Ovis aries: one gene and its partners. Each later gene encodes a partner of the first gene's protein in a complex. Links are inferred from orthologs where the notes say so. Each region holds a gene or a part of one and is shown on either strand. Other genes may lie near its edges. The genes, in order: GTF2A1, GTF2E2, GTF2F2, POLR2B, GTF2F1 and GTF2H5.

Region 1 (4,333 bases):
GAGAGTTCACTTATTTATATTTCATGTATTACTAAAAAAAGGTCCTTCTAATATTCACTGAAAACAAACACAGTGACCTTGAAGTTCTTTGAGAACCAAGGGCCAGACAGATCCACATATACCATGAACATGTTGTTAACTGGCTGCGTTAAGATTCTGCCAGTGTCACTGAAATTCCAGCAAGAAATTAAATATAGTAATTAAAATAATTAAGCTATATAATTTATATGACTGAAAAGATGTTACTTTACTTCCTTTATTCTTTCAGGATAGCACAAGAAGATAACTCTTTCCAGTAACTATTTGTCTAGAAGTGGACCTAGGAAAATATGAAGATTTAATGAGATAATGGTATTGTGTACCACCAGAAGCAGCTGTGTAAAAAGAAAACACTGGTGGAGTTGGAAGAGGAAAACAAGGATATAAAAAAGGTTGGCAGCCTAGCTAGTCTTGACATTAAAGACTAGGAATAAAAATTAGTATGTCTACTGGTGGAGGCTTAAAGCATAACTAAGGCAACCACATTTTAAAAGAAGGGGGCGGGGGGAATCTTGATGTCAGTAATGAAGAGAATTAAATGCCAAGATCTAGCTAGAGCATAAAATGACCAGTCAAGTTAACCTTGACCTCAGTTGTGACAGACAATAAAATATACAACTCTAATTTCTAATTAATGAAGAAAAAGAAGCTAGGGCAAAATAAAAATGGAAAGAAAAATAATCAAAACAAATACTGTATATGAAATGGTACAGATGACCTTACCTGTGAAGCAGAAACAGAGACACAGACACAGAAAACAAGTGTATGGATCCAAAGGGGTGGGACAGACTGGGATTGGCATATATACACTCTTATGTATAATACAGATAACTAATGACAACCTACTATATAACACAGGACTCAATGATCTATGGTAACCTAAATGGGAAGGAAATGAAAAAAAAGAGGTGATATGTGTATATATATAGCTGATTCACTTTGTTGTATAGGAGAAACAAAACATTGTAAAGCAACTATAGTCCAATTAAAAAAAAAGAAAAGATTTTAAGTCTCTAGGCCTGTACCTATTTACACACATGTATATGTATATATTCTGTAATAAATAGTTATCACCAACATAAATGTAAAAAAGTTTACTGAGGTAAATTTCACCATTTTTAACCATTCGAAGGTGTTCAATTTGCACTTAGTATGTGCAATTATCACCACCATCACCATTTCTATCCAATATTATAGAACTTAGCCAAGTAGGCAAGAAAAACTGCTATTTTTTCACATTTGATTTGATTGCGTACAAAGAACACATGAAAGAGTCAAGAGGCTACCCAGTAAATAAAGATGACCATGCCCGCCGGCACCCCCACCTGAAAATCCTATTTCTTTTGATCATCCCACTGTGTACAGGGAAGGATTAGGTAAGGCGTTAAGTACACTCAGGAAATCAACAACTATATGTTTCTCTTTTCAAAGAGCTTTTTAAAATTTGCTATGATGTTTATAACAAAAAAGAAAATTGAAAAAAAAGTAGTGTAGCAGAAGCCTTTTGCTGCTCATCATTAATCAAGGAAATAAAAATTAAAATCAAAATGAAAAATTTTCTGCCTACCAAATTGGCCAAAAAAAAATTACGAAGCCTGACAATGTCAAGTATTGGTGAAGACATACACAGAGCCATGCATCATTATATACTGAATGCCAGAAGTGTAATTAGTACAACACTGTGGCATTTTATTGTAACTTGAAGATATGCATGCCTTATGATTCAGCAATTCACTCTTTAGGTATAGCACTTGAATGTGTCCCTAGAAGACATATTCCAGATATTTTATAGTTGTACAGTTAACAAGTGAAAACAACCCTAATGCCCAATGTATCACAAAAATGGATAAACTTGTAACATTTAACAGTAAAAATAATTATAGGTATATGCAACGACTTAGATGGACCTCAAGAACACCATCTTGGGAAAAAAATCAACTTGCAGAAGAATACACAATTATTCCACTTCTAAACAGGCATGAAAAACTTAACAATATGCTCCTTAGGAATATAAATACTTATGGTAAAATATAAAGGCAAGGTAGTGACGAACACACAAATTATGAGCAAGGATACTTGGATGGTAGAAGGAAGACGATGAGGATTAGGGAGGGGCACTCAGGGGACTTTATGTTTGGTAAGGGGATTTTTTTTTTTTTTAACTAGATGCAGACACTGGGTTGTTTACACCATAAAATACTTTTTGTTTTATCTATTCAATATTTAATAAAATAGTATTCTTTAAAAAACATTACTTAGATAATTTAAAAGAAGAAAGAAGATAAACCAGAAATCACATTTTAGGTTGTTGCAAAAGGCAGTAACAGTGAAAACCGTGGTTAAGACCAACACCATCTTGACTATAAGTACCTAAGCTGGAACACTGGGGAAAACAAAGATATATTTACATACTTCTAGAAATACACAACAAAAGATGAGTAAGAAAAAATGGTGTGTGAAACTGCAGACAGACAATAAGAGCAGATGAGGTCACCTAAGGAACTCGTATGGAATATCGAACATTGTAACTCTGAAGTGTCTTCTCTTCCCAAATGCTGTTTTAAATTACTGAAGGAAAAGATGAACCACATCTATCTGGTTCTACCAATGTCTTACCCTTAAGCCACATCATGATGAATGTATTAAGTCAGAGAATCAGAATTACTTGCACTGTCATCACATTTATAAGTAAAACCTAATTTGGTGTATGTTTGCTTTTTGTTACCAGCTACAGAAATATTTTATAAATATATCCAGAACAATCTAAAAATCTTATTAAAGTTTAACATTATTAACTTATGTTATGTTAATGTTAAACGTTTAACATTATTTAAAATATTACACTGTATAGTGATTTTTAAATTATTTAAAATCTTACATTGTATAGTACCCTAACAGCCTCTAAAAACACAGAATTCATCAATTTGGCACCAAGTGAAGGAAGAAACAACTGAGCAGGTCCTCATTTCAAGTCTTTTACTAAAACTTACCTCTTCTACTTGCCCATCTTCAGCTCCATCTTTCTCTTTGTCTTCCTCCTCATCATCATCATAGTCTTCTTCTTCATCTTCATCTTCTTCAGATGACGTATCCCCAGTTCCATCAACTTGCAACACCAACGGAGCTTGCTGTTGAGCAGGCTGGGCCTGTGGCTGCTGCTGGCCAGTGGCAGTTATCTGCGCTTGTGCTGGTGTAGGTGCTGCCACTGTTGTAGGTATAACTTGAGTCTTATTTCCTGTAAATAAGATTTGCTGAGGCTGGATGATGACACCTGTTTGTGGTGAAATCCCTCCAGGAAGAGGGGCCAAGACCTAAGACAAAAGAAAAACTACACATTAGAACTAGTTTGAGGATCAAATCGCTCAGATTTATCATTTGATACACAGAAACAGGCCCCAATGGGAAAGAATCACCCTCAGATGACCGTATCTCACATAAAGGTAAAAACTACCAAAGCACAAGAGGAATGTTTAGTGAGTGTACGGATCCACTAAATTTTCATTTTACCATTCAAATTTCTAAAGAAAAACAGATTTTTAAAAATTACAATTGCTACATTTATCAAGTACTTGCTATTATCTATATTTCAGATTCCAGGCCAAAAGTTATATGTTATTAATTTGCTTGAGGTATGGAGATTTAGTAACCTGCAAAGCTCACAAGTCACTAGGAGACAAAACATGAACCTAGGCTTTCTGGTTCTGCTCTTAGTACTATGCTACACTTTCACTCTATGAAGAACACTGATCTGGAAACTGAAGACTTGGGTTCCAGTTCTAAGATCACAGATAAAGATGTAGCAGAGGCAAGTCATTTAACCTCGCTTCATTGTTTAAGGTCAATGGTTCTCAACCCTGCTACAAATTATAACAACCTGTAACTTAAAAATATTGACACCTAAGTCTCTACTTCTAATATTTTGATTTAACTGATATGAGATGATATCTATTCATATTATTTAAAGCTTCCCAGATAATTCTAATCATATAACCAAAGTTGCGAACCACCAGGTCAGATGACTTCTAAAGTTCCTTCCAGCTTCTGCATTCTAGGGTTCTGAAGTAAATCGCAGCTCAAAAAGAACATATTAATAAACATTAATTATATCTGTTATATCGACATATTTATAAATATGTTACTAAGTAAAAAGCAGAGCATATCCAATTTATAAGTACTAAATGGCAACTCCTTGTCTCTAGGTTCAAGGAAAGCAAAAATAACAAGATAGTATTTCTCTTCAGAAGTTTACAGATTAATAGTGCAACAGACAAAGCAGTAACAACTCAAAAAGACA
Region 2 (4,984 bases), on another chromosome or scaffold:
GAGGAAACAATCAAAGGAGACTAAATAATAGTAATGCAGTCATTAAGCATAATCAAGGACCTTTAGTTCCTTCCCAATGACTACAGATAATATTCTGAGCCATATCCTGTGAGCTTGTCTTAAAGATACTGAAACCCCAGGTGGGAGAAGTTACTACATGATGACCAGATTGTACCCACAACAGAAGCTGCCACAATTCTGAGAACTGGCCTCAGAGAAATCTGAACAAATGGACCCTGGAACTGAAGATTAACTGTACCTAAAGCAGCCAAGGTGATGCTGGTCAGACCACTGATGACCAAAGTGAAGATAAGTGTCAGAGCTGACTGTGCTGTTTCTGCAACAGCCCCCTTCTTCTATCTATAAAAGCTCTCGCCCCACCACCAATGGCGGGGGAGAGGGAGGCAGGGAGGGGCGGCACAGTGAATCGGCCTTTGGACAGACATATGCCCTCTCCCAGCCTGCTTTATTTCAAATAAGCAAACTTTCCTTTCCACCAACCTGGCCTGCTTACTAGCTTTTGAGCGACAAGTAGCCAGACCCCACACACCCTTCTGTGAGAGAAGAGAGACTCTCAGACTTTGGAAGCTTTCCGGCATGGGATAGCTCAATAAGTATTTTGTAAATGACTAACAAACAGAAGAACATCTTTAAATTGCCCTAGCCTCTCTGTTAATAAGTTTTACAAGCCTTTATTAAATGTCTTCTGTTTGCGGGGCACTGTACCGCACTGCAGCCTTTGGAAAGTTTTGGAAGATAAATCCTTGCCTGCATGTAAGCAGCTTACATTTGAGAATGTGAAAGCACTCAACAACTTGCTTAAAAAGCAATGAATAAATAAAACGTGACTTAGCACGCTAAAAGTTAAAAATGTAAGCACTGAATATCACTCAGTCATGAAAAAGAATGAAATAGTCTATATGCACAATATGGATGGACCTAGAGATTATCACACTAAGTCTGAAAGAGACAAATAGCATATGATTTCATTACTTGTGGAATCTAAAACATGACATAAAGGAACACATCTACAAAACAAAAACAGACTCACAATTGTAGAGAACAAGCTTGTGGTTGTCAAGCAAGATGGGGAGGAGAGAAGAGAAGGGTTGGGAGCTTGGGATTAGCCAATGCAAACTATTATACAGAATGGATAAACAGGTCCTACTGTACAATACAGGGAACTATGTCCAATATCCTGTGATAAACCATAATGGAAAAGAATATGACAAAGAGTATATGTTTAACTAAGCCACTCTGCTATACAGCAGAAATTAGAAACACTGTAAATTAACTATACTTCAATAAAATTTTATAAAAGCACTGATAAGAAATAAACTTGTCAAACTTTAGTTCAGGAAAGAAGAATCACTGACCCTGGACCTCGAATCTAAGACCTCCCTAAATTCTGACCCCTAACAGTAATATGACCTAGGGAATCCACTAGACTTCTCTAAATCCAATTTCATCATAAGTAAAATGAGGATACTACCAATGCTGTCTACATCTAGCCCAACTGTAAGAATAAAATGAGAACATGTTTGTGAAAGTGATTTTTTAAGTAGTAAAGCTAGACCAACGTGTTATTTCAGAACTATTATTTGGATCTGAAAAGAAATAACCCAGTGTTATACTCAGGTGAGGAAGGCAGAAGACAGTCTTGGGGGAGGGAAAGTGTATTAGAACAAGAAAGGAGAATTCCCCAATGATGTGGTGGGGGAAGGGGGGGGGAACAAGCCTAAAACAACAAACATCTGCTGATTTCACTTTGTAAAGACAGATTATTAACCCAGGCTTTTATAATCACGATTTTAACATAGATAAAATCTATGTTGTTTATTATGTAATTTATTATTAACATAATAAAAGCCTTACAAAGACCTGGATGTTAACAGCATTTGATCCTCACAACTCTATGAGGTATCAGGTATGTATCCTATCACACAGAGTTAAGATCACACAGCTGAAAGTACACAGCCTGGACGCCAGGAGATTGATTCCTAAACCAGGTGCTCCTTATTCCAGACCTAAAACTGGTAAAAGCCTCCAAAACAAAAGCGACCTGCGTGGTATGGGTGAAGTTCAATGGTCCCTAGAACAGAAGGTTTAATGTCTTTCACCATCACATGCTCTAACTTTTCCACCTTTTTCTCATGAGACTACTCCGCATCTGTAGAGTTTCATATGTCCTGTGTAGTAAACAGGACACATCAACTTCCCCGTTTTACATTAAAACACACATCACTGCCACAACTCAGTGAGTTCACGTGTTCCCTCACTGAGAAGCCAAAAGTTCAGTGAAAATCTTTTAACTGCAAAGCCCACATTCCTCCCATATTATCATTTGACTTTATCATTTATCCAGTTTATCATTTGATTTCTTTCAACCTTTCAACTCTTTCTCTCTTGCTTCATTTGCCTGCCTGAGCCTCGCAGGGGCCAATAGTGCTTTGAATAGCCGGCAAGCTGAGAATAAGAGACTGCTTAACCCTGAAAAGACAGCAATGTAGAAGTGGAAGTGAAAAAAGTACCGCAGCGACTTGTTTTGGAAAATGTCTTTAGACTCTGCAGAAAACTATTATAACTCAAGGTTAGGAATCATTCCAAACTAGGTTTCCAAGAGGAAGCTGGAAAAAAAAAAAAAAATCCGTGAAGGAGCGCCTAAATCACAGCCTTTACTTGGCTGGGCGCCGCGGTTCCTCAAACTCCACACACCTGGTCCGTGCGGCTACAGCTAATGTAAGTTTGGGGGCTCAGGAAAGGCACGACCAGCGCTCCAATTCGAATTTCCCCTCTTTCCAACCCAAAACTTTGCTCACTGAACCTCCGGCCTCAGAAACAATGCTCCCGAGAGGCTGTAACCGGGTTAAGCGTTTCGGGCAGGGAACCGCAGCCCCAGCTTCCCGCGGGATGGGAGGCCGCGTGCCCCCGGGAATGGGAGGAGGCCCCGAAGAACAACAGGCTGGGGCTCCGCGCCCCAAACCCGGCGTCCGCAGCTCCTACCTGAGCCAGGAGGGCCGCCCCACGCGCCCCGCCGCCGCCTCCCAGAGCCTCCGCCTGGACCAGCCGCCCACGCCCGCGTGGCTGCCGCTTCGGGCTCGTTGTCAGCGCCTCCGCCGCCCGGCACGCATGCCCAGCGCTGCCCCGCCAGCTCGGGGGTCTTCGCACTGGCGGCTGCTGCTGAAGCGGCGGCTGAGGCGGCGACTCTTCCCCCGGCTCCGCCCGCCACTTCCTGATCGGGTGGCCGGGAGCTCAGTCCCGGTAGGCACCGCGGCGCCTCGGCCGCCAAGAACGCGCATGCGTCATCCCGTGCTCCGCCCAGGTATCGCGGGAGGGAAATCTACCAACTTGGGCGTCCCGATCTCCATGACAACGGAAGGACGATTGGGGGCGGGACGTAATTAGGAGTTGAGTCAGTTCAGTTCAGTCCCTCAGCCGTATCCGACTCTGCGCGACCCCATGGACTGCAGCACGCCAGGCCTCCCTGTCCATCACCAACTCCTGGAGTTGAGTAGCCGCAGCTAAAATGGTGCGACTTTAAATGCTATTCACCATCACCTAAAATTCGGAGAACATTGTTCCAGCTCTCTCCCTACACAACTGAAACAGGAGACGCAGTGAAACTAAATAAATGACTGGCTCGAGACAGCACCGCCAGCAATGGCAAATTCTGAAGCAAAGTCCGGTTTCTGAACTCCGAACCCCCATCCCTGTAAACTCTCTTAGAAAAGGATTTGGGATTCAGCAGCAGCGTAAAGGGGTAAAAATAAAAATAAAGCGGCGAAAAAGACAACTGCCCTTGTCCACAGCCTGCAATGTATTGGACCATGCCAAATTGTGGCGCTGGCCTTGCCTCACTCCTGCAGCCTGAAGCGACCGCATGGCCAGTGCTCTACTATTTTATTGCTGTCCTTTACTTAATGCTGGTTACTCAAGTTACTTGTGTTTTGGTTTTCACATCTGGGAAATGGGAATAATAATTGAACTACCACAATGGGTTACTTTCATTGGATTGTTGTGAAGACTGAATGAGATAATACATAAAATTTTTAATCAAAACTTGGGAATAAAGCCAAAAGATGGTTGTGTGGGTATTTTTTTACGTTTTTATTTTATTTATTTTGGCTATGCTGAGGCCTAATTGTGACAGGCAGGCTCCTGCTCTAGTTGTGGTGCAAGGGGTTAGTTGCCCAGCAGCCTGTGGGATCTTAGTTCCCCTACCAGGGATGGAACCCACGGCCCCCTCATTGGAAGGCAACCAGGGAAGTCCCTGTATGGCTTTTTAAAATTGATTTCATTCTATAGGATTTTGTAATAAACACACTTGATATTCATTTGACACCCTCGGGAAACATAACTTCATTTGGATAACAATTTATTGGGACTCAAAGGTTTTATAACCCAGGAAAAATTGATAAGGTGTAATGAGGAGGAGCAGTCATACACTGAAAAAAAAATTCCAAACCTTAAAATTACGTTGTCTGAGAAACATAAGCCAGTTTTGTATAAATTTATTTTTATTTCATCCCTTCCCCAGTGATTATGTAAGTACCAATTTACCAGTAAGTCTCAATTTACTCATGGAATCGATTCTACCATTCTGCTAGCTTCCTTCTTAATGAATGAGAGAATTCCTATAAATGAACAGTGGCTAGACCATATATGCTGATAAAACTCTGGCCCACTTGAGAAACCAAGCCACAACCTCTGCAGCAATCAGCTCAGAATGGTCAAGATTTACTCAAAGGCTGCCAACTTCCCTGTTTCAGACCTCCTTCCTCCAAGTTCCCCTTCCAGCGCATACTAGAAGCGCTCCCCCCGCCGCTTTTTTTCCCCTCTATAAAGCTTCCCTGCTCCACGATTGCCTTTGAATCTCTGCTAAATGCAAGAGATGGTGGCTGACTCTCTTGCTTAACATTGTAGCAAGGGATGTGATCTCTCTTCTCATTTGAGTGGTCTTCGTTTTTTGCTAGGGTTTAATAAA
Region 3 (5,054 bases), on another chromosome or scaffold:
AATTCTAATTTGAACAGAAAAATTCTAATTTGAACTATCATTAGTAAGACCTCTTTTTAAAGCAATAAAATATATTCAAATGGCCATATAAGAGAGAACACTAAAATTTCTTTAGTTTAGATTTGTAACTTTCTCTTACATCCTCATTTAGTCAGTCACCACATCCTGACAACTTTTGCTGAAAAAGTTTCCCTAACTCCTGAGACTTCACTATCAAATGTCTAGGATCCTGTGATAATTTCCTAATTTTGACTCTGGTTATCTTCTCTTCAAGCTTCCCCCCTGCCCCACCCCGCTTAAAGAATCATTTGTATCCCTGCCTTACTCAAAACCCTCCAAGAGTCTCCTCATTTCCTGTAGACTAGAGTTAAAACTGGAGAAGGCAATGGCACCCCACTCCAGTACTCTTGCCTGAAAAATCCCATGGACGGGGGAGCCTGGTGGGCTGCAGTCCATGGGGTCTCAAACAGTCGGACATGACTGAGCGACTTCACTTTCACTTTTCACTTTCATGCATTAGAGAAGGAAATGGCAACCCACTCCAGTGTTCTTGTCTGGAGAATCCCTGGGACGGGGGAGCCTGGTGGGCTGCCGTCTATGGGGTCACGAAGAGTCGGACATGACTGAAGTGACTTAGCAGCAGCAGCAGCAGTGTTAAAACATTCCCACTTCACAACGTGATGATGTCAGTATACGGTCCCAATCCGCTACTCCAGGCATGATGTCCTCTTTGTTTTCCAGCCCACACCACATTACTGTGCATTCTCACTCCTGCATTTCAGAACCACTCTCCATGGTATGCTACGGAGATACTATGGCCCCCCATCCAAACCTCTGTAAGGCAAACATTTATTGAGCATCTACTGCGCTCCAAGCAGAAACACATCACCTCAAGCTCTCGCCACCTTTTCAAGCTCTTTCCATCTGCAAAGGAGATCTCCTCCCTAATGATCTCTCTCCATCTAGCATGCAGGAGGAGAGAGATACTTGGTTACTCCATCATTTTAAATCACACTGATATCACTGTGATAAGTCAAAGCAGCACCAGAGATTAAGGCTAGGGTTGAAGAATAAGAGTTCATTCAGTCATTCATTCATGCATGCATACATCACATTATCTGAGCTATTTACCTTACACCAAACACAGTTCTGGGTGACAGGCAAGACGCCTACTCTCGCGAAATATGACTGTGCATGTGCTTTGAAGAATGTTAATACAGGCTCAACATGCTAGTGAATAATCATAAGGGCAGGAGCAGGGGACTACAGAAGATGAGATGGTTGGATGGCATCACCGACTCAATGAACATGAGTTTGAGTAAGCTCCGGGAATCGGTGATGGACAAAGAAGCCTGGTGTGCTGCAGTTCATGGGGTCGCAGAGTCAGACACAACTGAGCGACCGAACTGAATCATAAGGGAGCTACATCAGAGAGGAAGACTAGAAGGGCCTCTCAGATTTAACTGATAAACACTCAGACGTGTGATAAAAGCTTTCCAAAAATCTAACAAATAAAGGTCTCTATGTTTTACTTGAGTTTTCAAGACTATCATAATCACATTTTGAATATACACATGTCTTATGAAAACTTCCTAAGAAACAACAGTCCCCAATTTGAAAAAGTAAGGGATAAATAGTGTACTCACTAAGTGAAGAAGTGAAGGTTGCTCAGTGTCTGACTCTTTGCGACCCCATGGACTATACAGTCCATGGAATTCTCTAGGCCAGAATACCGGAGTGGGTAGCCTTTCCCTCCTCCAGGGGATCTTCCCAACCCAGGGATCGAACCTAGGTCTCCCACATTGCAAGTGGATTCCTTACCAGCTGAGCCACAAGGGAAGCTCAGTAAGTACTTACTAAGGGTTAATCAAAATGCTGCCTTTACCAAAAAAAAAAAAAATTACTGACAGTTTCACCTGAGACACAATCGAACTCTAAAAGAACACTCCAGTCCACAGTCTCTCCTTCCCTGAGTTCAGAGCACTCTCACCTCTCCTGGGAACTCCATAAGACCCATCAACCTAAAAGAACACCTTACGAGTGAAAGTGAAGTCACTTAGTCCTGTCCAACTCTTTGGGACCCCATGGACTGTAACTTATCAGGCTCCTTCAAAAGGGATTTTCCAGGCAAGGATACTGAAGTGGGCTGCCATTCCCTTCTCCAGGGGATCTTCCCCACCCAGGGATCGAACCTGGGTCTCCTGAATTGCAGGCAGATGCTTTACCATCTGAGCCACCAGGGTACTCAGAGAACAGTTCTACTTTCTGGCTCAGAAAACTACCCAGAAAGCAAACGCTCAACTTTCTTATAGAGATTGATGACTGAAATCAGTTTCAGCAAGTGGAGATGAAGAAATTCTTCAGCCTGGGATAAAATGCTCAAACTGGGGGGCCATCAAGACAGGAGCCCAGAAAAACCAGGTCGTGGGATAAGGAGATCCATTCCAGGCACGTTCAGACTCTTAGTTGGCTAAAACACACTGGGTGTCCCTGAACTAATGTCCTCGTCTGCAAACAAGCCTACCAACCAACCCTGCCTCTCAAGGTAAGCGAAGTTCTAAACGAGAGAGCCCTAATGAGTTTTAAAAGGTGCACAAAGTGGGACGGTCTCAAGTTACGTGTGTGTGTGTGCGTGTGTGTGCGCGCGCGTGTATGTTAGTTGCTCAGTCGTGTCCGACTCTTTATAACCCCATAGACTGCAGCCCACCAGGCCCCTCTGTCCATGGGGTTCTCCAGGCAAGAACACCGCAGTGGGTTGCCACTTCCTTCTCCCAAAGGAACTATAGAAAGAAAGTGAAGTCGCTCAGTCGTATCCGACCCTTTGAGACCCCATGGACTGTAGCCCACCAGGCTCCTCCGTCCATGGAATTTCCCAGGCAAGAGTACTGGAGTGGGTTGCCAGTTCCTTCTCCCCTCAAGTCACTTAAACTACTTTAAAAGCGAGAGCCACGCAAACCTTACCTTGACCAGCCACACTCCGGTGTTCTGTTTGGCGCCAGTCAGGTCGAGTTCTCCGCGCTCGGCCATGGGTCTGTCGCCGGCGGAGACCTGCGGACTTAGAGCAGCGGCCCCGGGAGCGGGTGACTGCGGGACGAGGGAGCGAAGCACACGGCGAACCCTGGCCGGAGGTTGACTGTGAAGAGCCCGCGGTCCAACTTCCGGGATGCCGGGAGCCCTGGGAAAGAAGAACACACACGGCCGGCAGCGGGGAACTGCGCCTGCGCACTGCGGCCGTCAGTACGGCGCGCTACTGAGGACAAACTTCATCGGCGTGCACCTTCTTGAGTGGGCGTGGCTACTTCCAGGGACTGTGTCTGAGTAATTGAAAACGAGGTTGGGATGGGCGCAAACATCAGCAGTACATATAAAGACCAGGTCAGAGTAACAGAAGAAAGTGTCAAAACAGAAAAACGGGGTTTAAAGAGACAAAGGCTGTCAGTGTATGTCCAATCCAGGCCAAGGAGAGAAAGACAGCATTTGGAGGACAGGTAGGAGAAATGAATAAAATGAATTAGCAGAGTGGTCTTTATTGAAAGGCTACCCTGAGCACCTTCAGTTAAACGAGTAGGGCGCACCCCTTTAAGACTCCAAAACCCAGAGCCCTTTGTTTTTTGTTTGCTATTGTTTTTAATTTATTTTTAATTGGAGTATAAGCGCTTTACAATGTTATGTTAGTTTCTGCTCTACGACAACATGAATCAGCTGTAAGTGTACATAAGTCCCCTCCGTCTTGAGCCCCCCTCCAACCCCACCTCTATCCCACCCCTCTAGGTTGTCAGAGAACCCCGACCTGAGCTCCCTGTGCGCTACAGCAACTACCCACGAGCTATTAATCGCTTTTTACACATGGTGGTGTATACATGTCAGTGGTACGCTGGCAGTCTGTCGCGCCCTCTCCTTTCCCGGCTGTGTCCGCAAGTTTGGAGCCGTTTCATGACGTCAATGACAATAGACATGTAACAGAAAACTCTGATTGTTCAACTCCCCTGCTTAAAGAGTCTCCCCTCTCTCTTCTTGCCTCTAGAATAAAATTCAGTCCTCTCCACATAGGCCCTCACAGTTTGACCTCATCAAAGTGTGGTGTACTCAATGCACCACGCATCTAAGCCCATCTAACCCGTCAGACCTCCCGGAACGTATCAGAATGTTCCTCAATTATTCAGAGCCTCTGCACACTGGATTCCCTTTACTCAGATGCCCTATTCTTCCCGTACTGCCTTCTGATTGGCAGACACCTACTTAGGTTTCAAGATTAATGGAAATGTCTCTTCCTATGAGACCTTCTATCAACTCCCCCAGAGGAAGATAATTTTTTCTTCCCGTCACAGTGTGCGTTACTTAGCACGATGAGCTATAATGCACTCGTTTACATACTGCCTTTGCTTTCTAGACTATGCGCTCTTCCTAGGCAGAAATGGTGGGTTTTCTTGTTGTTTAATCAAAGCATCTGGCACAAAGCTGACACCACATCAGATTTCAGTAGGCTTTGGCTGAATGAACATTTGCATGAAAAGAAACAAACAGTAAGATATTGTAAGAATGGCAAGTGACGTATTGAATCCTGCATCAGAACCATACACAGAATTGAAGAAATTCCATGTCTATTCAGCCTAGGGCTAGGAAAAGCTGTCAGGGCTCTGAGATCAGCTGGGGAAACCTAACAGGAAAAACAGGAGATCAGGAACATGTTGAAGAGGAAGATCACAGTCTTGTGTGTTCTTTAAGGCTCAAGAAATGGCCTTAAAAATATAAAAAGGACAAGTGGATAAAGAGAGCTGCTTTAAGCTTTGGTCAAATAGAAGGAATAAATTGGACTTCCCTGGTGGTGCAGTGGATATGAAACGAATCTGCCTGCCCATGCAAGGGGCCATAGGTTCGTTCCCTAGTCTGGGAAGATTCCACATGCTGCGGGACAGCTAAGCTTGTACGCCATAACTACGGAGCCTGTGCTCTAGAGCCCATGAGCCACAACTCCTGAGCCTGCAAGCTGCAATTACTGAAGCTCTTGTGCCTAGAGCCTGTGCTCCACAGCTAGAGACGCCACTGCAGTGAGA
Region 4 (5,122 bases), on another chromosome or scaffold:
CAGCTAGCTCACAGTCCTCTGATCCAAAGTCAGAGATTAGGCTAAGAGGCAGGAGTCAGCAAAAGATTCCAATAGCTGGGCAATACATTAAGGTGCAGTGTCTATTACAGCAAGATTTCATACATGGACAGGGATGACAGCCTATATTTTCCAAAGATGGCCACATGTATCTTCCATTTTACATAAAGTGATTTTAACACTCCTACCATCAAGATATAAGGGTGGGGGAGGTTGGTCTATGCTTCTTCCCCTTGATTCTAGATGGGTTTTTGAATCTCCCATAACTAAGAGAATACAGTTGAACCAATGTTACACAATTTTAGAAGCTTTAGATCAGGAAAAGCAACCCAATTCCACCTTGTTTGCTGAAATACTTACATTTGGACCTGTGACTAAGAAGCCCTATTACTTTAAGGCTGGTATACTTAGGTGAGAAAGCCTAAACAGAGAAGCCACTCAGAGATGTTCCATTCATCAATCCTAGTCCTTGAATTTTCCTAGGCTAGATGCCAGATGCACTGAACGCAGAGTGTGAGTAAACACTCCAGATCACAATCCCCAGCTGTCAATATTCAGCCTTTGTGTCTGCCAACCACTGGCATCAGTCAACAGTCAAGCCATTCCTATTATGCTCTGCCCAAATTCCTAGCCCACTTAATTCATGAACATGTTAAATAATTTCTAAGCACCCAAATTTTGGGGTAGTCATACAGCAATAGTCATGTGTGCAATGGGGCATTTGAAAAATCAGTGTGCACTGGTCCTAATATTAGTCTCGTCTTTTTTTTAATTTTTTTCCAAGTGTGGGTTTATTATGAAATTATGAAGATTTCTACATTATTTTTGTTACATACAATAAAGCAATGCTTAAAGTAAAACTTTCACATTTAAAGTTTTTATTTTAAAAAGATATTTTTATTTTTTAAATAAAATATTTTTACTTTAAAAAGATATTTTTTAATGTAAACATGTAAAAGCCACCAAAAAAGTTGATTATATCTTGCAGTGAAGGTTTACCCTTAAATATTTACATTTCAAATGCTGTTTAGAAAAGATTTAAAAATTGGCTAAAAATCATTTGCAATTGGCAATGATTAAAATATCCTTGTCTCTGAAAGAGCATACTAATGGCACATAATGAATTTACTGTCACAAGCACTTAACAGTTTAATGGGTATGTAACTTTATCAGTATACAAAATGGTCTTAGATGGTCAGTGCAGTTGTTCTGGAGTGATCACTGTAACAGGAAAAGGCCACTTCACCAAAAACAGAACATCGACTTTCAAAAGGTCTTTTCAAACAGTCTCCTTCTTTTCAAAGAGTTTTCAGCTTAGGAGAGAAGAACAGCATTTAATTACTGCATCCCTTGCATATGGAATGTATGACAGACTATACCAGGTCATTGAAAGGAACTGCAATCTGCAGAATAATACAGCCAGTCCCTTCTCATGCCACCAAAGAGCAGTGCACAGGGTCCAAAGAGCAGCGCACAGGGTGAGCACGAAACACAAAAGCATAACTGTTGCAAGCAATCTCATTGTTTCAAACATTTTCTTCAGTTGTTTCACGTGTCCCATTAAAAAGCATGTAATGGCTAAGGCAGCAGTATTTCCAAAGGTATAAAACGCTGCAAAAAGCTTTATGCCTTCAGGGAGACACAGCAATCCAGTTCCAAGGATGAAGAAGATGCCACTGGCGAAACATATGGCAAACCACTTCAGCCTGGTGTTGAAACTAAGGGATGAGGCATCAAGGACCTGTAGGGTCAGGCCCTGTTCCTCCTTGTCCCGGCGGGGTAAAAAAAATTAAGGTATCTAAATCGGCTTAGAGATTTCTAGTTTTGATGACACACTAGATGTTATTATCACAGGCACACAGGAGAAGCTAATAAAGCTGGAAAAGGAGCCGTAATAATGAAGTTAGTTTTATATTTATTGATCATTTACCCCTTTTAACATTTTTTATGTCTTCTAGCTTGTGAGAAACAAGAATATATCACCTACTAAAAAATTAAGCTAAGATTTTTTAGGGAATTTTTTTCGCAAATAGAAGAAAAAGAATACAATGATACTAATAAATTTCTAGATGCAAGATAAAAATGGGACACAAGTTTAAACAGCAGACCTTAAGTTTCTGCTTCTATTTTCTCCATGAAGTGAAGGAACGGAAGAGTGAGGGGCAACCAGGAGGTTGGGAGCTAGAAGAAAATGAACTCTGAAAAAGGAGTTGTGGAGAATAGAAGAGGGAGCATTAAAAATATACAATGAAAATACACTACTCATGACTAAGATTTCTACATGTAAAAAGAAAAAAAGACATAGCGTCCCTGTTCAGTAAAATGCATACCATCGAGAACTGCATATAGCAACATGAAGGAATGCCAAACTAGATCAAGTTTGGCACACACACACACACAGAAAGAGAGAGAAACTATATTCTTTGTCCGCGGGGTATTACCAGAACCTGCTGCCGTCTATGCGGTCGCACAGTCGGACACGACTGAAGCGATTTAGCAGCAGCAGCAGCAGCAGCACCATGTTTGGCAAAGGCCGACGCTCAAAAACTATTCAACAAATCCACTAGCTCTGGCCTTTACGTAAATTTGAAAAGGAGCTCTGCTTCAGACGATATCAAAACAACTATACCTGTCCTATGGGTCTTCAGGCTACTTTCAATACGGGAAGGGAGTGTCAGATTCAACCAAGAGAACCAGAGTCCCCCTGACCGAGATCATAAAGGCTACGTTCCCCGCACCCTCCACCTCTCAAAATCTCGGATCCGGCCTGGGGATGTAGGGAAACGACTGGGGACGTGGTGGGGGAGGCCGGGGAGGGGGCCGTAAATCCTTCATTCGTCCAACTCCCCACGTTTCCCCCCCGTAAATGTGTCGCCGAGGAGTGCCCTGACTGGTCACCTACCCTCGTCCGCGTCGTACATCTTGGCAAACGGTTCCCGAACCCGTCAATCTAGAAATCACACACAGAAAGACGCGTAGCTGCCACCGACCACAGCAAAGTGAGGCGAAGTAATTTCCGTCTCCGGCGTTCCCAGAATACTCTGCGTCCCACACGAAGCCCCGCCCACAAAGGCTCCAGTTAAGGTCTGCGCCTGCGCGAAGGGCAAGGGGGGAAAAAGCGTGGTTAAGGGTTAGCATTGCACAGGCGCGGTTTGTGAGTTGAGGTTTCCTGTTCTTGGAGTGGGAGGACCGTTGCTTACGGTCTCCGAGTTGGCTCCTGCCAATGAAGCTTTGTTTTCTAGTGTTGTTGCACAAATAATGGCACCAAAAAAAGAAAGAAAGATTTAATAATAAAAGGTTTAATTGTCGCCGTGCTCTATTTTTTTCAATTCCAAAGATTTTAAAACCCGAAACTTTTAACAAGGATTTGTGTACATCAATTATGCGTCATATTTTTTTAAATGTTTAAGAAATGTGATTTTAATGCTGTTGCACGAATGATGATACCCGAAAAAAAGCCAAGATGTATTAATAAAAGGTTTTAATTGTGGCTGTAAGTCTGCGACATTCGATTTTTAATTTTCCAGTTCTAAAGACAAATACGTAGCTCCTAACAATGTGATTCCTTTAACAGCAGGTGGTGCCAGGGACAGCGCGTTAAACAAGCCTGAAAGTTGATAAACCCTCACTAACTAGCCTATTCGACCGACTAGGGCTTCCCTGGTGGCTCAAAGGTTAAAGCGTCTGCCTCCAATGCGGGAGACCCGGGGTCGATCCCTGGGTCGAGATCCCCTGGAGAAGGAAAGGGTAACCCACTCCAGTATTCTTGCCTGGAGAATCCCATGGACGGAAAAGCCTGGTAGGCTACAGGCCACGGGGTCGCAAAGAGTCGGACACGACTGAGCGACAGACTTCGCTTTCACTTTCTAATCTAAGTCCCGGGTATCACTTTAAGTAGGTTTCCGGGCCACAGAGCCTTCACCGCGAGAACTCACGAGATTAGACGTGGAAGGAGGAGCTTCACGCTGACGAATGACGGCTCTCAGGTACTCCCGGCTTGTCTCTGCTGTTTTACATTCATCTGGGGCCACAGTGCACGAGCGAAAAGGTGGCTCCGCCCCTTTGCCCACACCTGCATTTCTCATGCTGCCCGCGCGCCTAGCTCGCAGGCTTCTCTGCGGCTTCTTGAGGGGACCCACTCCCGCTGTAGCGCGTAACGGCGTCCGGGAGACGCTCCTCGAGAGGAGATGCGCTACCGATTACTCCTCCCGACACCCAGCGGGCCTGGGACGTGGCCTTCCTCGTGGCGCGACGGCGACTGGGGGTAACCCAGGAGGGGCTGACCTAGAGGAGAGTTTTCTGTTTCCTGAGTACGTCCTGGATTCAGAGTCGGAAGCGACCCTCCAGGACCAGCTGCGGGAGCTGCAGCAGCGGCAGGAGGAGGAGAAGAGACGGATAGAGCAGCAGCGAGAGGTGAGGCGGCAGCAGAAGTTAGGCGCCGGCCGGCGGGTACACCAAGTGGTGGGGCACCCGGACCCGACGGTGCCGCCCAGCGGCCAGAACTGTTCCGGGTGCGGTGCGGAGCTGCACTGCCAGGACCCCGGCGTTCCCGGCTACCTACCCAGCGAGAAGTTTAACAGCGCGTTGGCGGAGGAAGGGGGGCTGGAGCGGACTGTATGCCAGCGCTGCTGGCTGCTGGTTCATCACCGGCGCGCCCTGCGCCTTCAGGTGAGCCAGGGACAGTTCCTGGAGCTGGTGAGCGCCGCGCTGCGGCGGCCCGAGCCAGCTCTTGTACTGTACATGGTGGACCTACTGGATCTGCCCGACACCCTGCTGCCCCACCTGCCCGCCCTGGTGGGCCCCAAGCAACTGATCGTGCTGGGAAACAAGCTGGACCTGCTGCCCCAAGACACTCCCAACTACAGGCAGCGGCTCCGGGAGCGACTGTGGGACGAATGTATCGGCGCCGGGCTCCTGCCGCCCCGCGGCTACCAAAGAGCTCAACGTCCCAGTGGGAACCGGCCACGGGGCGGGGAGGACAATGCGAATCTTCCGTCGAAGTCCAGCACGGTTCTCAGAGACGTGCGGCTCATCAGCGCCAAGACTGGTTATGGAGTTGAGGAGTTGATTTCCGCGCTCCAGCGCTCCTGGCGCTACCGCGGCG
Region 5 (5,070 bases), on another chromosome or scaffold:
TGCCCTCACAGAGCAGACTTAGGGCTCCTGTGCACTATACACGACATGGTCCTTTCTGGAAGGACCTGTTAGATGGGCCCTAAAGAGCACAGTGCTCTAGTGTCAGACCCCTCTGGATTCCCCTCCGGAATCTTCCTTGAACCACTGCCAGCCCAGCTCCCTCCGGGCCTCCATCCTTCCCCTTTTCTGCCCCACCATGTGCAGGCAGTCTTACAGAGTGCCCCTTCCCCACCTACAGCCTTCAGGCTGCCCTGGGCCCCAGCCTACCCACAGTCCCGCTGTGCCCTGGCACTCTCAGCCCTCTCAGTCCACCCACTCTGCCACTGTCGTGCGCTGTGACAGTCCCTGGGGCTCGATGTTTCACGCCTTCGTGCTCGCTGTTCAACCAGAGTGCCCTTCATTTCCCTTAATCTCTGTCTCCCCCATGGTTCTCAACCCTCAGCTCTGGGCAGTCCTTGGCTGGGCGCAGGAGGACGGCAGGCCGGGATTCCTGCATCCCTAGCACACACTCGAGCAACCCCTTGGCTCATCTTCCCCAAGAAAACCCCTTCATGGGTGGATGAGCTGTCACCCCCAGCTGCAGGACCTAGAAGTTCGGCCAAGGGTACCGGGGAGTGGCGGGAAGGGGCACTTACTTTCGGCCTGATTTACCGTTGACCCGCAGCAGCCAGGGCTGGTCCTCCGGCCGGAACTCCTTGAGGACAATGCCGTACTTCTTCCTCCGCGCCTCCTCCCGGAGCTTGCGGTTGAACTCGCTGCCGGCGCCCGACTCCGGCATCTCCTCCTCTTGGTAAATCTTCTTGTTGCTCAGGTCTCGTTCCAGCCGGGCCTGGGAGACGGAAGGCGAGACTTCTCATCAGGCAGCCTGCTCCCCATCCAACAACACCCCTTCCTCCCCGCAGGCTGAGCGGTGGACCCTCTGAGCCAACTTCCCGCTTGGCGAAAAGAGGCTCTGTGAATGTGGGCGAAGGGATCTGTCTAAAGCCCGCTGCGATGTCTGTTTTTGCAGCTTTTTGAAAGTTTGAAGTTATTTCCAAATGAAAAATTAAAAAAGAAAAAAAGAAAAAAAGACACCCCAGAGTCCAATAACTTCTCGTAACCTGTTTGCTGCAAACCCCATCACAGGCTCACCTGGTCCAGAGCCTTCACCTCCGCCCTGTTCTCCCTTCACTTGCCCTCGACCCCACAGTGGACAAATCTCTTTACAGACTGTTTGTAACCCTTTAATAGCCTCTGCTATGGATGAATGTTTGCATGCCTCCAAAATGCATTCTTTTTGGCTGTGATCTCGGACTTCTGGAATCTTAGTTCCCCCACCAGGGATGGAACCTAGGCCCCCAGCAGTGAATGGGCTAGAGTCCTAGCTGGAGTCCTAACCGCTGTATCTACAGGGAATTCTCCCCAAATGCATATAACCTAATTTCCGGTGTGATGGTATTTGGGGGCGGGGCCTCTGATAGATGATGATTAGGTTGTGAGGCTGCAGCCTATTAGGAGTGAGATAAGTGCCCTCTTTAACAAAGGATTCCAGAGTGCTGTGTACCCAGGTGAGAGTACAGTGCAAAGGCACCAGCTATGAACCAGGACACCAGATCTGCTGGCGCCCTGATCTTGGACTTCCAGCCTCCAGAACTGTGGGAAATAAATGTCTGTTGTTTACAAACCACCCAGTCTCTGGAATTCTGCTAGAGCAGCCTGCAACTAAAACAGTTTCTAAAGACCGCTCTGGAGTCTCCAACAATAGGGGCTCTGAGTCACCTCTAGGAGGCAGCCCCCTCCTCTCTTGCCCAGATAGATCTCGACCCAGAATGCCCATCAGTGGGCACAAATTTCAGAAGAAAGCCTCCTGCAAGGCCACACATATCTTGTCCTCAGGGGTGCCCAGAGGCTCAGCCTGGGCCTTAGTTATCATTTATCTGCACGTGGGGAGAGGGGAGGATCCTAAGCCTTAGTTACTATCACAACCAAGCAACTATTACATCAAATCCAGGGTCAGGTTTTCTCACAGCCTCAGAACTCGGACTTACCTGATTCCAAGTAGTGAGGTTGACTTTATCGGCTGCATTGAAAGCCATGATATTGTATTTTTTGGTGGTATTTCTGGTATGGGCAAAAAGAGGCAGTGCTCAGTTAATCATTCATTAATTCAGCAAACCCTCCCAGGCTCAGTTCTTTGTGCTGGGCAACGCTGGGGACCCATGAAAAAAACCCCAGAGATCAGTTAAGGACAAATATTTCTGGGAACTCAAGATGGGATAATTGGGAACTCAGCCCTGGGCAGCGGGGTGGACAGGCAGGGACTGCCTCCTGAAGGAGGAAAATACTGTAACGGAATTTCGCAGGATCAAAAAGAATCCACCCAGTAGAGTCACTGTTGCCATTCCTGGCTGAGGGAATCCTAGGCAGGCAGGCTGCGTGTTACTGTATATTAATGTACTTATTCATTCACTCTGTTAAAAAAACAGTGATGCCCCAGAGGCCTCGGCTCAACCCCAGCCCTGGAAGAAGAATCAGACACTCCTGGAACCTCGAGATTTTAATCCTTTTCTGGAGGGAAAGGGGGTTGGTAGGGTCAGGGACTTACTTGGGAACTCGGACGACATACTCAGTGACATTCTGGCTGCTGGGGCCCTGAGGGGAGAGAAAGCAGGACAGTGAGTGAGAGGCTACAGAGGCCACCGGGACCGCAGCCGAACCGCCTGGCCGCACACTTACGAGGGCCGCCATGGGCGATGGGCGATTGACCCGGGTCTGATCAGAACCTTTCTTTACGCCTCCCTCCGGGTGCGCGTCCCTCGGAGGCCGCCCTCGAGGTGTCCGGTCTCCGGCCCGGGATACAACCGATCCTGGGGAAAGCTATCCGGAGGCGGCACTGGGTCGGCGATTGGCTTGAGACCGCCTGTGCCAAGTCTGCGCCTGCGCAGCCGCCTAAACCGGAATCGAAATCCTCCCGCAGGCCTAGGGGAAGCAACCTACTCCCAACTGAAGGTAGCGCCTTCTGTATCTAGCGCTCTGGCGGCCCGCAGTTTGTATAGCACGATAATCCCATCAGGCCGATAACCTCATCACGCGGATAACCCAAACAGGTGACGTGAAGACGCCCCCAGTGACATTACATCTCAGGACCGCGGGGTATCTTGGGAAGGAAGGGAGGAAACCCGCCACCCTCGCGGCCTGTCGGGCCATTTGCGCATGCGCTACTTTACTGCGGAAGTGAGTCCGGGGAGGTCGCGTTACCACAGCAACCGAGGCCTCCTTGGCAGCCGACTGCTGCGGCTCTACCTGAGCCTCTTTGGGGTTCATTTCTCCCCACAGCCCCCGGGGGTAGCCCTATCATCTCGCCAAATAATCGGGCCAGGGGCCCTTGTGACGTTGAACCGAACTAGGAGAGGTCAGGGCCTGTGTAGGGGATGGAGTGCGCTCACCCCACGGGCCTCAGGCGGGTTGGGTTTGTGCAAGTCCAAACTGCCCCAAATAGGCAGGCCCCTGAGGCCCCAGAAGAAGGGAAACATCGCGGGGGTGGCTGGTTTACTCGGGAGAAGGGAAGGAGGTTATGGAGGGCGGGAGAATGCAGGTAACCCCTCCTCAAGTCCAGGTGTGCACACGCCCTTCCTCCCGGCCCCCTACCTTATTGTAACACAACTTCGCATGCTCAGGGTCAGGTATTCAGTGATCCATGTTAGCACCTGCTGGGCTTCCCTTGTGGCTCAGCTGGTAAGGAATCCACCTGCAATGCGGGAGACCTGGGTTTGATCCTTGGGTTGGAAAGGTCCCCTGGAGAAGTGAAAGGCTACCCACTCCAGTATTCTGGCCTGGAGAATTCCATGGGTCACAAAGAGTCGGACACGCCTGACTGACTGACTGACTGACTTTCACTTTTAGCACCTGCTGCGCTGGATTCTGGGAAGTCCGTGGGGAATGTAGGAAGCCAGCACTATAAACTACAGGTCTCCATAGATGTTTCTGATAGTTATGGACATTTATCTACTCCTCACTTGCTACGATTATGTCAGAAACTATGCCAAGTACTAGAAATACAGGGACAAGGAAGACAAACAGATTCTGTGTTCTTGTAGTACATAGTCTGACTGGGGAGACAAACAAGAACAAGTAAACGGGCAGACTCATTACTGATAGTGACCATTACTGGAGGAAATGGAATTCTTTTTGTGGGGTGGTGGGGAATTAGGGTTTTGAGACTGGGAACAATGGGGTGGGAGGCTCTTTAGACAGAGATTAGCTGAAGGGTGAGCTGCAACCTGAAGGGACTGCAGTATGGACTTCCAGCAGGGGTGGGGGTCGGGGAGGAGCAACAGGGAGGTGATGAGTACAAGGGTCTGAAAGGAGGCCACTGGGCTGAAACAGTAAAGAAAGGGGAGGGTGGTATGGGATGAGACTGGAGGGGTGGACAAGTCCCTGTCCGTCTCAGAGCCTCAGTTTCCTCAACTGTAAAAGGGGTGATTCTTCGAGGAGAGGCTGCACACAAAGGGCCTGACCTGCTTGGGTTCACACCTCATCCACATGACCTATAGCAGTATTAATGGGTGCCGTGCCTGGATATATCACTGGGTGTGGACACACACCCCCAGATACCACCCTAGGGCAGAAATAGATCTTCCAGCAGACATGTGTCCAGCGTAACCCATTGTAACTGTGGACACAATCCCCTCAGCACCAACTGACCCCTACAGGCACCAACCCCTCTCCCCTGTCCCTCTTCCTCAGGCACGCAGACATCCTCAAGTCCCCCTGATCGTCTTTGTGATGGGCGGTCCAGGCTGCGGAAAAGGGACACAGTGCAAATACATGGCAACCAAGTATGGCTTCTGCCACATGGGGCTGGGCCAGCTGCTGCAGCAGGAGGCCCAACGGGGCACCTGGTGGGGCCAGAAGATCCATGACTTCATGCTGCAGGGGATCCTGGTGCCAACAGTGAGAGCTCCCAGGCACGGCAGCAGAGGGATGAGGGGGCCCATTGGGAGGGGCTTCCCAGGAGGATGTAGGAGCTGAGGGGCCTCTTGAGGGCAGGGGACACTGGCTGCTGCTTTGTCAACTGAGCCTCTGTGTCCT
Region 6 (4,772 bases), on another chromosome or scaffold:
CATGGGATTAGGGAAGGACAGAAAGCAAGGACAGTAGCAAGGACAGAAAGACGACGTGATAAAAGAGCCATCACATATCATGAGGGAAGGAAATAAATGTTATTGGACAATTATTCAGCTATTTGACCAAAAAAAAAAAAAAAAAAAGACAGCTAATTTAATATGCCCTTTCTCTCAATAAATTCCAGGTGAATGAAATACAAAATATCAATCAAAAGGAAAATATGAAGACCCTAGGAGAGAGGTGAATACCAATCAAATCCAGAAGGAAGATTAAATTTGGAAGAATTGGAAAAAATAAAAGGGAAAAACAGCTGACAATGTGTGTGTGGATCCTCTGTGTTAAAAAAATAACATTACCATATACTGACATGAATCCGCCACGGGTGTACACAAACCCAATCCAGTATTGTAAAGTAAAATAAAGTAAAAATAAAAATTTAAAAAAAAATAAAAATAAATTAAAAATAACATTAAAAGACCAACCAGGAAAATGTTTCTATTAGCTATGACAAAGTAATAAGAAAAATAAAAAACAAAAAGTAGCTCAGAAGTGTTTTCCAAAAGACAAGAGCACAGTATGCTTGGAATTCTGGAATCTAGATCCGTCCCTTGGCTTTCCCAAGTGAACGTTTCTCTCATTTCTAGCGTTTACTTCCATCACCAAACGTTCTAGTCTCTCACGTTAAAATAGTGAAAGTAACAAGCAGCAGAGTATCTTAACAAATCCTTCCTCTGTGACCAACCCATTTCTCTATCCCTTTGCTTCCCAGGTGGCACAGATGGTAAAAAATCTGCCTGCAATGCGGGAGAACTGGTTTCAATCCCTGGGTCAGGAAGATCCCCTGGCGAAGGAAATGGCAACCCACTCCAGCATTCTCGCCTGGGAAATCCCATGGAGGGGAGAGCCTGGGGTGCTGCAGTCCATGGGGTTGCAGAGAGTCAGACATGACTAAGCGACTTCACTTGTTCACTGTCAAGACAGTTTCCACTTCCTTTCCTCCCTTCCCCTTTCTGAAGTATCTATCCCACCTTTCCACAAAATTATTGGAGCTCTGATTTAAAAAAAATAAAAAAAATCAATGACCTCCAGTGTCTTCATCTTATCCAACCTCTTACCACCACTTAACACAGCCTACTTGCTTTAGTGAAACATTCCCTTAGGTTCCCTCCCACTTCACTGGCTGTTTTCTTAATTGTGTTTGGTGGTCTCTCCATTCAAGCTATATCTGCACTATCCATAAAGCAGCCCACTAGTCACACATCACTACTGAGCACCTGAAATATGGCTAGCCTGTGACTATGCTGTAGGAGTACAGAAGACAGTGGATTTTGAAGCTCTATAGTATGGAAAAAGACTTACTATGATTCTGAAGTGTTAATCTGAACTTTGAGGATTTTTTACCTGGTGAAATACTTCAGGTATACTGAGTTAAATAAATTTCACCTGTTTCATTTTACTTTTCAGTGTGGCTACCAGAAACTTTAAATATGTGGCTCATGCTGTATTTCTACTGGATGGTGCTGCTTGAAATGTCAGAGTATGCGAGGGTTTGGTCTTGTTCCTCCCTGAACATTGCCACCACAGAGACAGTATCATCACCCATATGATAGCTCACATTAGAGGTAAAGAAATGTAGACAGTAGTATTTTCAGACAATCAGGGCAGGATTTCCAGGTGAAACAGAACTATTTGGTGAGGCAAAAAAAAAAAAGCAGAGACTGAGCAAGACTGGGCCAGCAGCTCAGATTTTCAAACTGGGGATAATTGAGCCCCACCTTAGCTCTCGGGAGCTAACTCTGCCCACAGCTTTTAGTTTCTCCTTTGGAATGTGTGCCTAGTTTAAGAAACCTTCAACTGGCTCTCCTGTTTTTTTCTCTTTTTTAAAGACCAAAGTTTGTGTGACTTTGGCAGGCCCTAAAATTCTAGTTAATCACTGATGACTTGAAAATACAAGCACTGTTCCCCTAAAGAGGGTTAATTTCACATATATGCTGCCTGCCACTGACCAAAACTTGTTGGAAATAACGCCAATGACATCAATTCAACAGAGATGCTGAAAACTGGCACTAGGAAGAAACTTAGCAACAACATTTGTCCCACCAGTTAAGAAACAAGAAAAATGAAGTTGAGAAAGCTGAAAGACTTGATTCATTCAGATCTTAAGAACAAAACAAAATGGATTTTGGAAACAGTACACATGCAAATCAAGATTCAATGTGCAAAACAAACAAAAAGACTCAATGTGCAGATTTAAAACTTAATAAGTATCAAAACTACTAACCATTCTATAAGCACTCCTTTCAAGACGTTGACCATCTTTTCCCAGTCAGAAGGTGCTGATGACCCTAAAAATGGTAACAAAACCCTAAGGTGACAAAATAGAAAAGCATTAACTTCAATATCCTTTGGTGATTTACTTCTGAACAGAGGCAAAAAATTAAACGCCAAGACTAAACATAGAAGTCTATTAAAAACATAGAGCTAACATTAGGAAAACATACAGATATTCTGATCTTTTAACAAAATTCAAACGAGTCTATTTGGGATAGTAACAATGCACAAATCTTATTTGCAAACAAATCCTACCCCAGTCACTCCTAATGAAAGCCTAATGGGGCCTAACTCCACAGCAATGTGGCCAATCCAGGTTTAGAACAAGTACATTATTTAAAATATTTCTTTTTCCCACGTAGAAATACGATAAAAGGTAAAATTCTGGGAGATAGGAGTCACAGAATGGTAGCTTCGCAAGAGGCCTTAAAAATTATATGGGGGCTCCGACCATCTCGTTTTACAGATGAGATGGAGCAAAAAGATTTAAGTCGCAGCTACCAGCAGAAAAAGAACAATCCAAGTCTCCAGATCTTGTGTTATATTGCCAAATAAAATATGTACCCCAGTGACGTGCGCTCGAAGGTAAGGAACCCATTCAGCGCACGCCAAATTAACTCTTATTAAACTTCCACACCTCGGCGCTGGGCAATGCCCCCCCCCCGCCCCCCCGCCCTCCGCAAAAGAAATGCACAGTTCAACTGCCGCGGGGCAGCCGCCCGGCCTCGTCAGAGAGACAGGACGGAACCCTGTATCCCCGCAACCTGAAAGACAGGTTTCTAGGACTTTCCCCTCCCCTCCTTTTTTCTTGGAAACCCACAGAACTTCCACGCACGCCAGGCTCCCCTACGGCTCCGAGGGCCGACGCCACGTACCTTTCCACCCACAGATCCCACAGCGCCTAGGCACCGACAACAGAGTACGCATGCGCCTTCTACGTCATCGCGACAGCGACGGCCTCGAGGGTGGGGCGCCCCGGCGAGGAGGCGGGCTGTGGGCGGGGTTTATAGCGGGGGCGGGGCGAGACGAGGGCGGGGTCACGTGCCGCCCGCCGCCGGTGGAGGGGCGGGGACTGGGAGCAGAGGGGCGGGGACTGGGAGCAGTGGGCCGGGGCGGGCTCCCAGCGAACTCGGTCCTGCGTGAACGGCCAGGGGGTTGTGGCCGCCTCCGCGCGCCGGCAGGTAAGGAAGGTAGGGCTGGGTTCGTGGGTGGGGGGCGGATGCAGGCGAAACCGGGCACTGCGGGCCGTGGGGCGAGCGGCGACTCGGCGCGGTCGGGGCGCCCCAGTGAGGGCGCGCGGCCCCTGGCTGACCCGCTGACCCGGCGCTGGGCGTGAGGTGAGGGCCTGTTTCCCCGCCTCGGCAGCCCGGCTCTGCTTTCCCGGTCGCCACCCTCCTCTTAATTCCAGTCCCAGGCCCAGAGAGCACCTGCTGGTACCGTCGGCCACAGGAAGGATGGTGAAAATGAGGAGGAAACAAGTCTCCGCCGTTCAGATTGGAACCTTTCAGACCACAGCTTCTATAGCTGTGACGCGAGAGGATGAATAAGATTGAATGCTGATGGGTCCTCCGAGCCCGGAGGAAAGACCCAGAGAGTTCCAAAATTACTTCCTTCTCCAGATTCGGATCTGTAGTCTAATACTCTGGCCACCTGATGCGAAGAGTCCACTCATTGGAAAAGATCTTGATGCTGGGAAAGACGGGGCAGGAGGAGGAGGGAAACAGAGGATGAGATGGTTAGATAGCATCACGCAACCTAATGGATATGACTTGAGCAAACTCGGGGAGATAGGGGAAGACAGAAAGAGCCTGGCATGCTGCAGTCCACAGGGTTGCAAAGAGTTGGTCTCCACTTAGCTACTGAACAACAATGTATTGGAGCTCTAATTGTTTTTTTTACCAGTCGAGAAATGAGGTTTCTTGCTTTCTGTTCCTTAGGTGAAATTGTACTTCTCCAATTGTGTGTGCATGTGATTTAGGAATCTAGCTCTTCCATTTATTTCCCTCTTTCTTTGCTTCAAATCTTTCCCGTTGGTTTCCATGCTGTTGCGCATGCTCGTTCCCTCCCTCTCTCTAATCTGCCCCAACAATAGTTGTTCCTAAATTTATTGTTTTTTTTCGTCTTGAATGCATTTTCCTCTTTCACTGTCTCATCGGTTCCATCCCGTCAAACCTCTATTCTTGTGCGCCAGATGTCAGATGCCTGCACGTTAATGACCTGTGAGAACTCTAAAGAATGCCTCCCAACCTGAATTAGACCTCACTTCACCATCACTTCAAAATCTGCTTTTCTTTCCGTGTTTTTCCAAATCATCTAGATTTAAAATCGCCATTTTTTTTTTATTCAACAAACATTTTGTGCGGTATATGTCAGACCCTATTCTAGACATTGAACTAACAATGGTGAGCTGGCAACTTAATTATAGGCAGGGAAAAGG

What was found.
Region 2: GTF2A1 (region 1) and GTF2E2 share a complex: the UniProt entries of both Homo sapiens proteins name them as parts of the TBP-based Pol II pre-initiation complex. The link is inferred for Ovis aries from reciprocal best matches to the Homo sapiens genes GTF2A1 and GTF2E2.
Region 3: GTF2A1 (region 1) and GTF2F2 share a complex: the UniProt entries of both Homo sapiens proteins name them as parts of the TBP-based Pol II pre-initiation complex. The link is inferred for Ovis aries from reciprocal best matches to the Homo sapiens genes GTF2A1 and GTF2F2.
Region 4: GTF2A1 (region 1) and POLR2B share a complex: the UniProt entries of both Homo sapiens proteins name them as parts of the TBP-based Pol II pre-initiation complex. The link is inferred for Ovis aries from reciprocal best matches to the Homo sapiens genes GTF2A1 and POLR2B.
Region 5: GTF2A1 (region 1) and GTF2F1 share a complex: the UniProt entries of both Homo sapiens proteins name them as parts of the TBP-based Pol II pre-initiation complex. The link is inferred for Ovis aries from reciprocal best matches to the Homo sapiens genes GTF2A1 and GTF2F1.
Region 6: GTF2A1 (region 1) and GTF2H5 share a complex: the UniProt entries of both Homo sapiens proteins name them as parts of the TBP-based Pol II pre-initiation complex. The link is inferred for Ovis aries from reciprocal best matches to the Homo sapiens genes GTF2A1 and GTF2H5.

The regions. Positions count from the first base shown.
Region 1 is NC_056060.1:90,667,138-90,671,470, forward strand, and holds part of GTF2A1 (transcription initiation factor IIA subunit 1), read right to left. Parts: intron 3,351-4,333; coding exon 3,030-3,350; intron 1-3,029. UniProt on the Homo sapiens protein: TFIIA is a component of the transcription machinery of RNA polymerase II and plays an important role in transcriptional activation. TFIIA in a complex with TBP mediates transcriptional activity.
Region 2 is NC_056079.1:25,926,208-25,931,191, forward strand, and holds the start of GTF2E2 (transcription initiation factor IIE subunit beta), read right to left. Parts: upstream 3,235-4,984; 5' UTR 3,004-3,234; intron 1-3,003. UniProt on the Homo sapiens protein: Recruits TFIIH to the initiation complex and stimulates the RNA polymerase II C-terminal domain kinase and DNA-dependent ATPase activities of TFIIH. Both TFIIH and TFIIE are required for promoter clearance by RNA polymerase.
Region 3 is NC_056063.1:15,656,579-15,661,632, reverse strand, and holds the start of GTF2F2 (general transcription factor IIF subunit 2), read right to left. Parts: upstream 3,161-5,054; 5' UTR 3,028-3,160; coding exon 2,962-3,027; intron 1-2,961. UniProt on the Homo sapiens protein: TFIIF is a general transcription initiation factor that binds to RNA polymerase II and helps to recruit it to the initiation complex in collaboration with TFIIB.
Region 4 is NC_056059.1:73,095,513-73,100,634, reverse strand, and holds the start of POLR2B (DNA-directed RNA polymerase II subunit RPB2), read right to left. Parts: upstream 3,030-5,122; 5' UTR 2,940-3,029; coding exon 2,921-2,939; intron 1,805-2,920; coding exon of another isoform or gene 1,328-1,804; exon of another isoform or gene 1,224-1,327; intron 1-1,223. Other genes in the region: nitric oxide-associated protein 1, read left to right, coding at 3,991-5,122. UniProt on the Homo sapiens protein: Catalytic core component of RNA polymerase II (Pol II), a DNA-dependent RNA polymerase which synthesizes mRNA precursors and many functional non-coding RNAs using the four ribonucleoside triphosphates as substrates.
Region 5 is NC_056058.1:15,923,190-15,928,259, reverse strand, and holds the start of GTF2F1 (general transcription factor IIF subunit 1), read right to left. Parts: upstream 3,140-5,070; 5' UTR 2,728-3,139; coding exon 2,716-2,727; intron 2,632-2,715; coding exon 2,585-2,631; intron 2,101-2,584; coding exon 2,028-2,100; intron 830-2,027; coding exon 636-829; intron 1-635. UniProt on the Homo sapiens protein: TFIIF is a general transcription initiation factor that binds to RNA polymerase II and helps to recruit it to the initiation complex in collaboration with TFIIB. It promotes transcription elongation.
Region 6 is NC_056061.1:82,453,107-82,457,878, reverse strand, and holds the start of GTF2H5 (general transcription factor IIH subunit 5), read right to left. Parts: upstream 3,272-4,772; 5' UTR 3,263-3,271; coding exon 3,211-3,262; intron 2,370-3,210; exon of another isoform or gene 2,350-2,369; coding exon 2,286-2,349; intron 1-2,285. UniProt on the Homo sapiens protein: Component of the general transcription and DNA repair factor IIH (TFIIH) core complex, which is involved in general and transcription-coupled nucleotide excision repair (NER) of damaged DNA and, when complexed to CAK, in RNA transcription by RNA polymerase II.